Linked DNA regions of Alligator mississippiensis. The protein of the gene in region 1 binds, or shares a complex with, the protein of each later gene. Links are inferred from orthologs where the notes say so. Each region holds a gene or a part of one and is shown on either strand. Other genes may lie near its edges.

Region 1 (7,884 bases):
AGATTGTTGACTTCGCCAAGCAGGTACCTGGCTTCCTGCAGCTGGCTCGTGAGGACCAGATCGCCCTGCTCAAGGCCTCCACCATTGAGGTAGTTCTGGGCTCCAGGTTTTCCATAGGACATGGAGAACTTAGGGAGGGTCCAAAGGCAGGCAACAAAGGTGATAAAGGGCTTGGAAGGCAAGTCACAAGAGGAGAGGCTGAAGGAGCTAGGCATGTTCAGTTTGAGGAAAAGGTGCTTAAGAGGGGGCATGATAGCAGGTTTCACATATTTGAAAGGCTTCCATAAATAAGAGAGAGAACACCTTTCTCTTATTGCAGAGAGAAGGAAGAGGACCAATGGCTTGAAGTTGCAGTAAAGTAGGTTTAAGTTGGATACGGGGAAAAACTTCACTATGAGAGCTGTGAGGCAGCAGACTAGACTGCTTAGGGGAACTGTGCACTCTGCATCACTGGAGGGGTTCAAGAAAAGGTTGGACGGGCATTGGTCAGGGATGACCTAGGTGTAGCTATGCCTGAGTTCTACCATGGGGTTTTCCCAGGCTTCTGTGTTTTGCTGGTCGCCCCTTTCTCCCTTTCTGCTACAGGTGTCAGGGTTTTTTCAAGTCTCTCTTAAGAGTCATTGGGTGTTGGTTGCAGCCAAGGCTGGGGATTGAGACTGGGCTGTGTCAGTGCTTCTGCTGGGATCAAAGCTGGAGGTTTCTGCCTAGAGGGTCTTGCCCCTGTGCTCAGGATTAGACCAATCACTATATCTGAGGTCAGGAAGGAATTTTACCCTGGTCAGATTGATAATGATGTGGGGTGTTTTGACTTCTTCTGTAGTGGGGACATGGCTTCTACCTGGGATCTCTTGAGCGTATATTAACAACCTTTTAGAGAAGCAGGATGTTGGCTGCTGCGGTCCCCCTGCTTTACCGGTGCCAGGTTTGGGTGTTATGATTTGTGTCAGGGTTGACGGTAGCTTTGTTAAGAGTTTAGAGGGTGGATTTGTAGAGGATGGTCTGGATAGGACCAATCCTGCTTCAGGCAGGGGGTTGAGCTAGATGACCCCTGGAGGTCCCTTATGTCCTGACTTCTCTGATTTTACAGTTCTATGAGGTGCATCGCTGGGGGGGAGGGAGGGACAGACAGAGTGGAGGCTGTGTTGAGGGCAAGGGCACAGGGCCATGTTGAGTGGGCTCTTCACAGCTTGCCTGCCCAGGCCATGCATGTTGGTGCCTGCCAGGGCGAGGGTGGTCCGTGGCCATGCAGTAAATGGCAGGTGCTGTGGCCCCATGGTGGAGGGGGTCTCATGCCCACCCTGCTCCCCCCCAGATCATGTTGCTGGAGACAGCACGGCGCTACAACCATGAGACAGAAAGCATCACCTTCCTGAAAGACTTCACGTACAGCAAGGACGACTTCCACCGCGCGGGTATGCAGTGGCAGGGGTGCTGGCACAGGGTCCATGGAGGAGCTAGCGGGTGGTACAGGGGAGTGCAGCAGGCAGGGGGTGGGGATCAGGGTAGCTCTGGGGGTATGAATAGGGGGGTAATAGGGGCTGGGGTGCTAGGGGCTCAGAGGAGGCCTCTGGGGGGAGCTCTTGAAGGGCTGTTGGGTCTTCAATCCATGTCCTGCAGGGTGAAGGAGGAAGCTATCAATCCCAACTTGGATGGGCCATGGGGATGGCTCCTAGGGGGTTGGGATTTCAGGGATGTCTGGTGGGATATGGGGGGTCCCAGCAAGGCAAGGGGATTTCCAATGAGATGTGAGTTTCAGGGGGGTCTTGGTGGGATATGGGGGTTTTCAGTGGGGTGAAGGATTGGACTAGTGGGATTTGGGGGTAGGGGGGAGGTCTCAGCAAGGCATGGGGATTTCTGGTGGGGTATGAAGTCTCGGGGGTCCTGGTGAATTGGAGAGTTTCTCACCAATGGGGTTGGAAGATTCCTGGTAAAGGATTTGGGCATCTCAGTGGGGTTTGGGGGGTTCCCTAGTAATGCATGTGGGGTCTCAGTGGATTCAGGGGTTCTGGTGTGTGGGGACATCCCAGGACTGCAGCGGACATTCTCAGTGGGGTCTGGGGGTCCTGGTGGGGCATGGGCCCCCCAGGTCCCGCTGAGGCCTGGCGCCTCACAGGTCTGCAGGTGGAGTTCATCAACCCCATCTTTGAGTTCTCGCGGGGCATGCGAGGGCTGCAGCTGGATGATGCCGAGTATGCCTTGCTCATCGCCATCGACCTGTTCTCGGGTGACCGGCCTGGTGTGCAGCACCGTGCCCAGGTGGAGGCACTGCAGCTGCCCTACGTTGAGGCCCTGCGTGCCTACACCCGCATCCAGCGGCCCCAGGTAAGGTGGGGCCCCCATTGCATCCTGACAGCCAGGGGCAGACAGGAGCTGGTGACTCTTGGCCTAGACCCTCCTCTTAGCCTGCCCTGGACTGGATGATGCTCCTCTACAGATGGGGGGTAAGAAGCCATGTTGGTGGCAGGGCTGGTACTGCCCCAAGGCTTTAACTCATGTACTCCACATGCTGGGGGGCACAGAAGGCAGAAGCATCACTAGGATACAAGGGATAGTGGATAGATCCAGGCATGGGGGTAGGAGTGTAGGGGCAGCTTTTGGGGGGTTGGCTCTGACACCCCCTGTCTCCCCCCCCTCTCCCCCAGGACCGGCTGATGTTTCCCCGCATGCTGCTGAAGCTGGTGGCCTTGCGTACGTTGAGCAGTGTACACTCAGAGCAGGTCTTTGCCCTCCGCCTGCAGGACAAGAAGCTGCCACCGCTGCTCTCTGAGATCTGGGATGTCCATGAGTAGGCGTGCAAGGCATGGGGAGGCAGGACTGAGGGGTTCCCCCCACCCATGGCCAGATCCCCCTCCCTCCACACTGATGGACCAATGCCAGAACCCAGCAAGGGGCAAGCCCCCCTGCACCCTGGACTAACCATGTGATGCTGTGCCTGGCTGGATGATGGATCAGGACCCCCACCCCCCTGCCTGGCCCAGTTGGAGGCAGCCTCAGGACAGTGGGAGTCTCCCAGGGCTGGGGAACATCTCTGCCCCCCAGCTTATGAGCCTCAAAGACTTGTTGTCCTCTCCCCACCAATGGGGAGTCCCTCTCCTATGAAAGGGGGTGTGGGGTGGAGGTGACCCCTGGATAGCAGAAGGAGGGCAGAGGGGCAGGCCCCAGTCCTCTGCTGCCACTGGAAGAACTTGGGGGGGGGGGGAAACAAAGACAGTGCTGCCCCCCCCATTCCTACTGTCATGGAGATGTGTATGGAACGAGAATGCTTCCCCCGCTGGAGTCGGGGGGGGGGGGGGGCGGGCAGGGCGGGGGTCACACACACACACAGTGGGAAATAAAACAAATTACAGCTTCCTGGTGCCTCCTTGCATCTGTGCTGGGGTGGGGCAGACAGGTCAGGACACCTGGGTTCTATTCCAGCTCTGGTGGGGGCAGCTGGGGTCTGGTGGGGTTAGAGGAGGGTGGCCCAGGACTCCTGGGTTCTATCCCAGCTCTGGGAAGAGAGGGAGGTTGGGTGGGTTGGAGAAAGGGTGGTCCTGGGAAACAGGACACTTGGCTTGCAGTCCAGCCCTGGCAGGGGGGCATGTGGGCTGGGAACCAGGATGTGTCTGGGTTCTCTCCAGCTCTGGGAGGGGACTCATGGTGGAGAATCAGAATAGATATGGCCAGAACAGAATCCCAGGCCCCACTACCCCAGATATGGCTCTTGCCAAGGGCTTGTGGGAAAACCCACCAGGTTCTGGGAAATCAGGGGAATTCCAGCTGGTCATGCTGGCCGCTAGGGGGTCCCCCAGGGCCATGCATCAGCCGTGAGCACTCCGCTCCCCCCACCCTCTCACCTACCTGGGCAGGCAGTAGATGCAGAAACTCCCACGCAGCCTGCAGGCCAGCAGGGGACACTGTAGGGAGCGGGGCAGGGAGGTCGGCGCGGGGAGAGCTAGGGCAGCTGTATCACGCCCCCCATCGCCAGCTCTTCAGGAGGGGATTCCCAGCCTTGGGGCAGGAAATCCCAGGAAGGTCTGGGAGTGGCAGGAACATATTACTACCACCCCCAAGCAGGGCAGGAAGCCAGGCTGGGCCTGTGACTGGCCCCTTTCCACACCCCACGGGACCCGGGGCTTTCCAGCCTCCTTGAGACTTCATGGGGTCTTCTAGCCCGGCATCAGCATCGGAGTGGGGGATGGGAGCCAGGACGCCTAGGTTCTAGCCCAGCTCCGGCAAGGGAGGGTGGGGATGGGGGGCCAGGACACCTGAGTTGTCTCCTGAGCGTGGCACAAGGGCGTGGGATCTGGTGGATTAGAGGTGGGGCTTGGGGAGCATTGGCAGGCAGGACGCCTGGATTCTCTTGTCTGCTGGGGGAAGTTTGCGGGGGTAAAATCATGGAGAGTGCAGTGGGTGACCCCCCCCTACAGGCAGGGGTACAGTGCAGCGGTGCGTAAGTCAAGGGCAAGGCATTCTGGGAGCTGACTACCCCCCCATTGGGAGTCTCCTGCTCCTCTCTTCACTTTGCCACACTCAACATGGCGTCGCAGGAGCGCATCCAATTGCGCATGCACTCTGCGATCCTGGCTGCCCCACTGAAGGGCCAGGCTTCTGGGATCCCCACTGCGCATGTGCCGCTCTCCATAAGGTGACGTTCGTGGCTCAACGTGGCATATGCGCAGTATCATGGACTCAGAAGCCAGATCCCAGGTAGTGTGTCACCTTACTGCGCATGCGTTTGTGCCGGGGCGACTGCAGCCTTCACGCCACACTCTCCGTATCACTGTGCTCAAGTACCCCGCCCTAGGCCTTCCGCCACGCTCAAGATGGCGATCGGAAGTCGCGGTGGGAACACGTGTGTGCGGCGTCCAATGGGAGGGGGGTTGGTATGGGAACCGAGGGGTGGGACCACGCTGGGCTCCGCCTCCTTTTGGATTGGCGGGAGAGTCGGAGCTGGAGCTGGGGGGTAAGTGGGGCTGGGGGGTAGTTGGAGTGAGAGGGCTCCCGGGGGGGAGGCATCTGCTGGGGGTGGGGCGCCCTATGGGGGGCCCCTGTTGGGCGGGCAGTAGTTGGGTGTGGGGTCCCTGGGGTGGGGGATGCTATGGAGGGTCCTTGTTGAGGGGGTGCTAGCAGGGGACGGGGTTCTTGTGGGAGATCCCTGGTGGGGGGGTGGTCCCTGGTAGGGGGGCAATAGCTTGGGATGGGATCCCTGGGGTGGGGAACCCTATGCGAGGGTCCCTGGGTGGGGGCTGTAGCTGGGGAGGGGTAGCTGGGGTGGGAACACTCTTTGGAGGGGCTCCCTTGGGGGAGACTTTCTGGGGGGTTCCTGGGGGGAAGGCTGTAGCTGGGGCTGGGGTCCTTGGTATGGGGAAGCTATGGGGAAACTCCTTGGGAGGAGACTCCCTGGGGGTTCCTGGGGGACAGGCACTGGCTGGGGGTGGGGAGTCCCTATTGGGGGGGGGGTCCTTGAGGTGGGGGACTCGGGGGGTTCTGGTGGGGGGCAGGCAGAGCTGGGGATGGGGCCCAGGGTGTTCTTATGGGGCAAAGTGGGTAGGTGACTGTGGGGGCAGTTGTACCCCATGGTTGCTGGGAGGCATGTGTGTGCCTGTCACAGAGTGGGAGCTTCCTACCTGGAAGGTGGGAGCCTGCCTGTGGGCTGTAGGGCCCAGGCTGCCCTGGAGGTGGGGGGACTGGACCTCAGGTGCCAAAGGGATCATAGTTCCTGTGATGTGTGCTGGGCTTCATAGAGGAGGCCGTGTGGCTGGTCTCTCCCTAGGTGTTTGGAAAGCACACAGTGGATGCACAAATGCAGTGGAATTGGTTTATACCAGGGTTGGCCAACAAGTGGCATGGGTAATCTGTGTGTGTGGCACATGGCAGATTGGGGAGGGGGCAGGGAACACAGCAGCAGGCAGGGTAGGGAGCAAACAGGAGACTGGGCATGGGAAGGGGCATGGCCTGGCACTCGGGCAGGGTGCAGGGCTAATTTGTGGCACGCCTGCCCAGAAAGTTGGCCCCCACACCAGACCTCATTGCATCAGCCCTTCCAGAGGAAACGTGCTTTAAGAACCTCACAGACTCCTTTTTTCTTTGCATACCTTGCAGCATCTTTTCCTGTGATCCGTTCTGATGATGTCTTATGCATGGGCTTGTGCTAGCTCTAGCACCAAGCACATTTTGGCTTGCTGTGCCAGGCAGCGGGTCTGTAGGGAAGCTGTAGAGACAGAAATAAAAAGGGCCCTGCAAGGGTTATCTGTTCCTGGCATGAGGAATTAGCATGTGTTGGAGTCACGTAGGGCAGTAGGCACCAACCTTTTGGGCAGACGTGCTTCAAATTAGCCCTGCACCCTCCCCTGTCCAATCTGCTACTCTGCTTCCTGCTCCCTGCCCTGTTCTCTCACTCTGATCTGATGCTTTGCCTTCTGCTCCCTGGCCCATGGTCCCCATCTGGTATGCTGCTGTGCCTTCTCCCTGTCTACTTTGTGGCTCTGTTTTCTGCTTCCTTCCTTGTGTTCACTGCCTGATCTTTTACTCTGCTTTCTGCTCTCTGCCCTGCACCCACTGTCTGATCTGTTGCCCTACTTCTCCCTACTCAACCTGCTGCTGTATTCCTTGCTCCCATCTTGATCTGTTGTGTGCCACAGTTTGAGGCTTTCCTGTGTCATTTGTGTCATCCATCCTTCAGGTTGTCCCCCCCCCCCCCCCCCCCCGGATGATTGGCATTAGAAGAAAAAGTTGAGGATGGACCCAGGTGTTTTTTGGATGCAGCCCTGTTTATTTACAAGGAACATACAAAGAATCCCCTCTCTTTGAAACACCGCAGTCAGTGTGCAACAGAAGTGTTTTCTCTGCTCATGATTCAGTCTCTTCCAGGCACTCTGAGCCCAATTTGGTCTTCTGCTTTTGCCCTCAGATCCACCATGGAGGCCAAGCGGAAGGTATCCCCAGCGGGGCCTGGCCCAGAGGACCCCTCACAGTGGAAGCGGCCACGGGGGGGTGACTGGGAGGATGAGAACCCCTCACAGTTTGAGGAGGCACTGGCCTACCTGGATGAGGTGGAGAGCGAGATGACTCTGGAGATGGAGTCGTCATCTCAGTTGCTTGATGTCATGGCCATCGGTGAGGCGACCCCCTCTGGCCTCCCACAGGGGCTGATGCCAGGGCCCTGGTTAAGGGGCTGTGGAGTGGTGGATTGTTGGCTTATGGGGCAGGGGTTGAGGGGTGCAGCACCAGGAGGGAGGAGGAGGAGGGATTGGGGCTCTGACATTGAACTTTAATCTCCCCCTTCAAGGGAGTCTGTTCTCCTCGGTGCTGAACCCCAAGTGGCAGCGCCCAGCACCCCCTGGGATCGACCCTGCAGCTGATGCACTCTGCTTCCAGCAGGTGGAGCTGGATTATTATGTGGGTGAGCATGCCCAGCGCAACTCCATAGACTGAGTTGGGGGCCTTTGGGAGGGGAGTAGGGCTAAATGGTCAGAGCAGGCGGGTGGGGAGCCAGGACTCTGGGTTTTGATCTCGGCTCTGGGTGGAGAGTGGTTAGGTGGTAAGGGTGAGGAGCCAGGACACCTGGGTTCTCCTGCTAGCCTGGCAGTCCCATCCCAACTCCAAAAGAGCGTGGCCTAATCTTCCCTGTTCCCCCAAACCCTTGAAGGTTACTGTGTTCTGGGGAAGGGCTGGGGTCTGGGATTATCCCTCCAGCTGTTTCCATTCCCCCATCTTGGGGGCTTTGTCTGATTAATCTGTAACCCCTGCCCTCCTCCCCCCACACAGGGAACCCCCCCTGGCCTTATTCGTGACCTGGGGTGAGCAGGGGCTTTTACAAAGCACAATGGCCCAGTGTGTCCCTATCCCAGGGGAGGGCTGGACACACAGGTTGGAGTTCCCCAGGGAAACTTCCCAGTCAGC
Region 2 (7,319 bases), on another chromosome or scaffold:
ATCTGGGGCGAGGTGGACACAGTTGAAGGAAGAGAGAGGCTGCAACTAGATTTAGACAGACTACAAAAATGGGCAGATGAAGGGGAAGGGGAACAGTGGCTCTCACTAAGTCCCAGGCCAGGGCACCAGCTACCTCAAGAAGTGAGAATGGGGCACAAGCCTTTTGTCTCTTGGGGATAATAATTCTGACCCAGTCTCAAGGTCCACCCTTGGGCAGCAGAAAGGGGGACACTAGAGCTGCAAGAAGTTAGGTGTGGGTTCACTGGTATGGGGAATGGGGAGAAAGACGGGGATGACTTGGGGACCCCATTTAGGCCTAGCTTGTGATTTCTGGCCTGGATACAGAGCAATGAGATGGCCTCAGAGCCCCATGAGGGCAGCACAGCAGACGCTGACCTGACATCAGGTACAGTGCTGGAGCTTGGCAGGAGATACACCAAGTAAGTGGATGGGTACACCTGGAAGCCCTTGGCCTTGGCAATGTCCCTGGAGGCTTCACACACGCTGTCCTGGAGCCCTGCAGGGTGGGAAGCAATGCACTGTGAGCAGCCGTGGGAGACCCTGAATAGTGCCCATGTATGTGGGGGGGGGGGGGTCGGACTGATGGAAGTGAGGGGGAGGGGGTGAACTAAGCCCAAAAGAGACCCAGAGCTCCTGTGCAGTGCCTGGGGTCTTCCCACACCTGGGCTCTTGCTCTGGGGTTCAGGGGGGATGGTCCCTGACTTACCATGTATGCGGAAGGTCTGGGCCCAGTTGATGGCCCCTGGGCTGCTCAGCAGTGCCCGGTAGGCACCCAGGTCCCGGTAGAAGGCTGAGTACATGTTAGCATAGAAATCAGAGTCATCCGTCACCACCTGCCAGGAGATACTTGCTGAGCGGGAAACTCCAGGGAGGAGAAGCAATCTTCTCACACCCCAAGTCAGCTATCTTTTGGGCCACACTGTTGCAAGCGCCTCCCATAAGGGAAAGGCCCTGGCTCCTGCCAGCCCCACACTCCTTCACGGAGGAGCTGGCACCTGCCAAGGGAGACAGTCCCTGTACCCCATAGCAGGGGAGTCTCACCTCCTTGCGTGGCCGGGTGAGGACAGCTTTGAAGTTGGGCCACGAATCCACCAACACCTCATGGCCAGCTGGATTCCCACGGCTGATGTTCATCACAGCACCAAGGACCTGGTTGAGACAGAGCAGAGTGTCAGAGCCAGGCAGGGGGAGCCACAGGCATCAGGGACTCAGACTCACATGAGGAAGGGAGACCAGGGTGATGCTGGCTCCGACATGGTTATCAGGAACCCCCTGATCTTTGGCCTGGGGGTGGGTTCAGCTCCTCATTACTTACTGCCTCTCTGGAGCCTTTGGTCCTTCTTCAGTCTCCCCTGGCATTTCCAGAGGGGCGGGCATTGCCACTAACCTCAGTCAGGATGGCTGCCACCTCCCTGTGCTTTCAATGGGGCTGAAGCCAGAGAAGGGGGAACCCCAGGCCTGGAAATGTGAGGGGGCAGGATGGAGAGAGGAGGCCTGGGAATGGTGCACAGGCTAAAGGAGTAGGTCTGGGAGGGGGAGAATGCCGAGGGGCAGAACAGGGCTGGGGCCAGTGTGTGCTCTGTGAGCTGGTCTGGAGGCTGTGTATGGGGGGCTGAGCAGAAGGTGAGGAGGTCCTATGCTTCAGGTACCAGTCTGAGTGGGTGCTGAGACCCAAGGCCAAGCACAGCCACAACACCCAATGGCACCTGTGGGCCCCTGAGTCATGGGACCACCCCTCATACCGCCTCCCCTCCCCAGCCCTCTGTCTCCTGAGCTACTTTTGCTGAATCTAGAGATTTGCTCCCTGTTCAGTGGCCACTTTGGATTGATGAGCGTAGAAGCTGCCCACACTGTGACTGGCTGGCATGGAGGTTACTGATGTTATGGTTGGCTGGCAAGAGCCAACCAGGCTGTGATTGGCTGTTGGACTGCTCACAGCTATGCCAGGTGAGCAGCAGGCATTTGTGCTAGGTTTGAACTTTGCACAAGCAACAATTGGGCAACCCCAGAAGAGCAGCTGGAGCTGGGGGGAGGGGGCTGGACCCCCAGTGACCCCATATCTGTGTGGTCGGGTGGGGGGGGGTAGCAGAAACCCCCATAGCCCAGAAGGAAGGCTCAGCCCTTCACCCAGCATCTGCACCATCACCCAGGGCAGACAAGACCATCCATCTCCTCTGCCCAGTCCCTGGATGAGTGTGGGGGGCTGTCACCCAATGTCTCAAGAGCAGTCTCATGTCACCGGCAGTGTCTCAGGCAGGCTCTGCCGCAGCACTCCCTCCAGCAGCTGCAGCTTGGAGGAACAGCTCAGGATCAGCATTGCTGGCCGGATTGAGCCCTGGCAACCTCCAGAGGGGATAATGCAGGCACCTGGGGAAGGGGAGATGCCATCAACTCCCTGAGAGCCATCTCAGTCCCCCCTCTTCCCCACAGAGAAGGCCACCCCACAGAGAGACCCTGCAATAACACACTTGTTTGTCAGCTGCTGTCCCCCAGCCAACTGGGGCTGCTTTGGGCAGGGCAGGGGGCTTTCCACTCACCTGCACGTTCACTGTCCCTGCGGCAGGGGTTGTCCTAGGAGCACAGTGGTGATGAGGTGTCTGTGGGGCAGGGTGGGCTCTGCCTGGCAGCAGCTGGTCCTGCCCTTTGGGTCTCTGCCGCAGGGGCTGCTGCAGCCTCTGATCCCAGCAAATGAACCATTAACAGAGTTGGTGCTTGGCTGGCCTGGACAGCAGGGCAGGACGGGACAAGAACGTTTCCTGGGGTTGGTGCAGCAGTAGTGAGTGGGACCTGGGAGGCTGGGAAGCAGGGTACATCTGTACCATCCCCCCCAGCAGCAGATCTGCCTGTGGGGAGCACGGCAGGAGTGCTGGCTAGGGATGGCTCCAGGATACTCTTGCTCAGAGGTTCTCAAGCTGTGGTCTGTGGACCACCACTGGTCTGCAAGCTCCATTTAGGTGGTCCGCAGAAAGGTTGCGGAACAGTCAAGAATATGGTGCAGCAGCTCTGCAAAGCGGTGACTGGTGTCAATGGGCTAACCAGAGAAGTGGCGCCATACGGGCACCCCGCCAAACACCAGGGGAACCTGTCACCCCAGTTTGACATTTACGTCCTGCCTCAGGAGTGCCCCGTGGAAGACCAGGAACCTCCTGTTATACAGGCACACAGATGCAGAGGTAGTAGGCTGTGTAAAAGTGGTGCTGAGTGAACTCCAGACCTACTACCAGAAATTGGTTGTGGAGAATGAGACAGAGACATGTGGCACAGGACCTTCCAACTCCCCCTGAGCAGGAAAGGGAGCAGCAACGGTGAGGAAAAGGAAGAGACAAGTGGAACTGAGTACAGCGACAGCAGCAGCAAATTCTTCAGCAGGAGCTGGAGCGATAGTGACATGGATGACAGGTGAACTGAGTATGTGACCTTGCAAGCAGGGGGGAAATGAAAGGACGGGGTTGCCTGGTTTGAGACCAGAATTAGTCTGGTTGTATGTGTTGTGCGCGGAGCGGATATTGTAACAGGTTCAGGTGGCCAGCGGGTCTTTGTATGGGTGTGCGGGTCGCAGTGGTGCAGTTTTTGTAACAGGTTTAAGGTTTTTCTTTGTAGAGTGATATTCAGAGTGTAGATATATATAACCTCATATACATATATATGTATATACATACATACATATACATACATATAATATATATATATATATAGACATATTTTTCCAAAAAAAAAAAAATCTGTACTTGTAAGAGGGTGGTAACAGCAAGGAAGAGGAAGAGACAAGTGGAGCTGAGGACAGCAACAGCAGCAGCAGGTCCTCCAGCAGGAGCTGGAGCGACAGAGACATGGACAACAGGTGAACTGAGTACGTGACCCCAGAAGCGGAGTGGGGCTGAAAGGAAAGGGTTGCCTGGTCTGAGGGACCAAGAGTTGCTTGTGTGCGTGGCGCGCAATGTGGATATTGTAACGGGTTCGGGTGGCTAGTGCGCCTTTGTACGGGTTCTGATTTTATTAGGGCATAGTGGTGGGTAACCCAATTTTTCTTGCCACCCCCCAAGAGTCAAAGTGTAAGTCGAGCCCTGCCGGACCCCACTACAGCCTGGCCCCGGTGCTCGCCCTCCACCTCCTCCAGGGCTACTCAGGGCAGGTGACCCCGGCCACGCTCCAGTCCGCCCTCCCCCCTCGGCCCGCCTCGCCCTGTGTCTGCTTGTGCCCAAGGCGCTGGTCAGGAGACGGGGCGTCCCGGGCCCAGCCGCGTGCCTGGCTCCGCACCCCCAGGCTGCCACCCCCGTCCTCCTCCTCTTCGCTGTGCCCCGGGCCGGGCCCGTGCTGCCGGCTCAGGCCCATCAGCACCCCGCACGCATTACCCAGGCCCATCACCACACCCACGTTCCGCCCTGTCTGTGACGCCACAAGGAGGTGGGAACCCCGTGGGCCCCAGCAACGCCCCGCTCCGCGCGCATGCGCGCCTGACCCCCCAGGGTCTCCGGGGAGAGGTGTTCGCGACGCCCCCTTGGCGCCTTCCCGCGCAGTGACGTCACTGTGGCGGGGCAGCGCGCGGAGGGGCCCGGACCAGGTGAGGGGCGCGGGGGCTCGGACGCCGGGGTCCAATCCGCGGCCTGGGGCAGGGGCGGGGGGTGGGGCCGCGGGGCGGACGCCTGGGGTCTCCCCGGCCTGGGGGCGCCGCGCCCTAAGCCCGGCCTGCCCGCTCGCTCGCCCCCAGCCATGCGCAGCAAGCGGCTCATCCCCGATGCCTTCCCGGCCGTGAAGAGGCCGCGGCGGGACTGCGCAGCCAAGGCCCCGGGGGCAGGGCCCGCCGAGGAGCCCCGCGCCGCCCCGGCCCCGGCCCCACTCGACCTGCTCAAGCGCTTCGACCTCAGCCCCGAGTACGGGCCCTGCACCGGTGAGACCCTCCCCCCACCTCCGGAGGGGCGCGGGCGGGCCGGGCTGTGCCCCGAGGGGCTCCAGGACCCTGAGCCCACCCCTGACCCCCGTGCCCACAGGGATCACGCGCCTGCAGCGCTGGGAGCGGGCGGCGGCGCTGGGCCTGAGCCCCCCGGACGCGGTGCGAGAGGCGCTGCTGCAGCACGGCGAGGACCCCCGCGTCACCTACAGGTGGGTCAGGCGGCTCCCGGGAGCTTCCCGAGCCAGGGAACTGGGGACTGGGTCCCTGCCCACGGCGGGAGGGGGCTGGCGGGGCCTGGCCTGTGCTTGGGGCTCGCTAGTTGGGTGGTGGCATCACTTGGGTGGCACAGGCAGGGCTGGGCACAGCCAGCTGTTTGAGCTGCCCCCTGGAGCAGCCTGGCCCCTTGTCAGGAGATGCAGGATCGAGCCCCCTCTGGTAGACGGGGCAGCCTGGCTAAAGTGCTGGAGGTGAGAGGGCAGAGCCGGTGGGGCTGGGAGCCCAGCTCACCCTCCTTGCAGAAAGCCCCCTGGCGAAGCAGGCCGCATCACGGTGTCCAGCCCTGAACAGACCGTTTCTGCCTGCCACAGGCCCCGCTGACACTGGCCACCTGTGCTGCAGCCACAGCAATGCTCCAGGGGTAGAGTCCTGGCAGAGCTATGCCGGTGGGGAGCCCGGGGCTGGGCCAGATGTGGATGTGCCTTGGGGGCCAGCAATGCTTCTCTGACCCATGCCCAGAAGACTTCACCCCTGAGACAGCAGATCTGCCCCCAGAGCTGGCTGGGGTAGGAGAGGGGTGGGTGAGTCACCTCTTGGGTGATGGAGGGAGACCAGCCCCGGTCCTGACCCCCTTCCCTACTTGCAATCAGCAGCCGGACTTGGGCTATTTCAGCCTGCGCCTGCTTAAGTCAGGGAAGGGTTGAGTGGTTGGGGTAGGACCATGAGGCTGCTGGATAGGCAGTGGAGATGCCCTCTCCTGCCCTAGAATCAGGCTGTTGAATCAGTTTCAGCTCTGAGCCCAGCCCTGTCCCTGCATCCCGAGGGGGTGCTGCCTGGGACCTGCTGACCTACCAGGTAGCAGTGACTTGGAGGGGGAGTGTGCCCTGTTCCCTGCCATACAGCACTCCTAGCGGCCTAGGAAAGCATTGCAGCCAGCCAGCACTGCCTGCCAGGGGACGGGGCCTCTCTGCCTCCACCCTGGGGCCAGGCCCTGCTCTGTTGAGTGGGTGAGGGGAGAGTGGGGGGGGGTGTCACAGGGAAGCAGGACTTACAAAGTAGGGAGAAATGTGCGCCCTCCCCACCCCCCTCCAACGACAGCTCGCTGGCCCTGAAAGCTGATAGCCGTGTGACCCATCTGCCTCCAGCCACATCATTCCTTCAAGTTGACCGTAAAATCGTGTCTCCTGAAGACCCGCCACAGCGGCGCTGCGGGGAGCCAGGCACATTCCAGCCTTGGCCTGGGCCAGGCCCAGGGGTGTACCAGGGCATGGAGCTGGGTCTCCCTAGGAGTAACCTCTCTCTGCTTCCCCTACAGTCTCTGGCACGAGTACCCGCTCTGAGGGGGAAGTGCGAGGGGCCTGAACAGCTCATGATATGAAGTGGAAGGGGGACCCTGCGCTGGTGCCCAGCCCCCACAGCGAGTGCTTTGGATCCTGAGTGGAAAGCGGCTTCGCTCCAGCATTAGGCAGAGGATTCTCATTCCCAGTGCTTTGGGGGAGGAGCGGGAGGGGGCTTTGCCAAGGGCATGGTGTGTCCAGGGACACTGCAGGGGTGCCTAGTGCAGCCTTGCTTTCAGCAGTCCAGCACCCTGCTGTGTTTGGTGCTGTCCACTTTCCCAACAGCCCTTGGCGTGTGTGTTTTGGATTAAATGCTTGTGTGAGAGCCACTGGCCTCCTGCCTTCTAGCTGTGTGGTACAGGGAATGGGTCTCTTGGGACTGTGCCAGCTGCACAGTTAGAGCTAGCCAAGTGCAAGTGCTGATATGGTCTGGGTGGAGGGCGGGCCGTGGAGGTGAGGGCTCACCTCCCCTGGACCCCTGAAACCTGGAGGTTATCATGTTGGTAAGCACATTGTGCTGCCCAGCTGCTGGCTGGGGCCCAGAAACAGCCTGGTGGGGGCAGGGGAAGTGGGCTGTTGTGGCAGCCCCTGCCACAGTGGGACACAGGTGCCCCCTGGTGCCCTGTGTGGCCACTGCAGGAAGGCTGGAACCATGGCCGGGCAAGTGGGGCCCAAGGTCTAGACTACAGCAGTGGTTCTCAACTTTTTTTGCACCAGGACCCATTTGTAAACATCATTGGTCAGTCCCGACTCCTTGCCCCTCGCTCCTGACCTGCTGCCCTCAGCCCCCCAGTGTGTGGTGGGGGCGTGGGACATGGGGGGAGGGCCCAAGCAGCCCCTTGGAACTCTACCAG

Evidence for each region.
Region 2: POLD1 (region 1) and POLD4 share a complex: the UniProt entries of both Homo sapiens proteins name them as parts of the tetrameric DNA polymerase delta complex. The link is inferred for Alligator mississippiensis from reciprocal best matches to the Homo sapiens genes POLD1 and POLD4.

What each region holds. Positions count from the first base shown.
Region 1 is NC_081828.1:40,190,513-40,198,396, forward strand, and holds the start of POLD1 (DNA polymerase delta catalytic subunit), read left to right. Parts: upstream 1-4,859; 5' UTR 4,860-4,867; coding exon of another isoform or gene 4,868-4,945; intron 4,946-6,892; coding exon of another isoform or gene 6,893-6,899; coding exon 6,900-7,098; intron 7,099-7,270; coding exon 7,271-7,384; intron 7,385-7,884. Other genes in the region: NR1H2 (oxysterols receptor LXR-beta), read left to right, coding at 1-89, 1,313-1,412, 2,114-2,322, 2,643-2,789. UniProt on the Homo sapiens protein: As the catalytic component of the trimeric (Pol-delta3 complex) and tetrameric DNA polymerase delta complexes (Pol-delta4 complex), plays a crucial role in high fidelity genome replication, including in lagging strand synthesis, and repair.
Region 2 is NC_081825.1:176,139,100-176,146,418, reverse strand, and holds POLD4 (DNA polymerase delta subunit 4), read left to right. Parts: upstream 1-4,485; 5' UTR 4,486-4,582; intron 4,583-4,729; 5' UTR 4,730-4,731; coding exon 4,732-4,909; intron 4,910-5,009; coding exon 5,010-5,121; intron 5,122-6,443; coding exon 6,444-6,468; 3' UTR 6,469-6,794; downstream 6,795-7,319. Other genes in the region: glycine N-acyltransferase-like protein 3, read right to left, coding at 397-517, 728-854, 1,063-1,170, 2,261-2,338. UniProt on the Homo sapiens protein: As a component of the tetrameric DNA polymerase delta complex (Pol-delta4), plays a role in high fidelity genome replication and repair.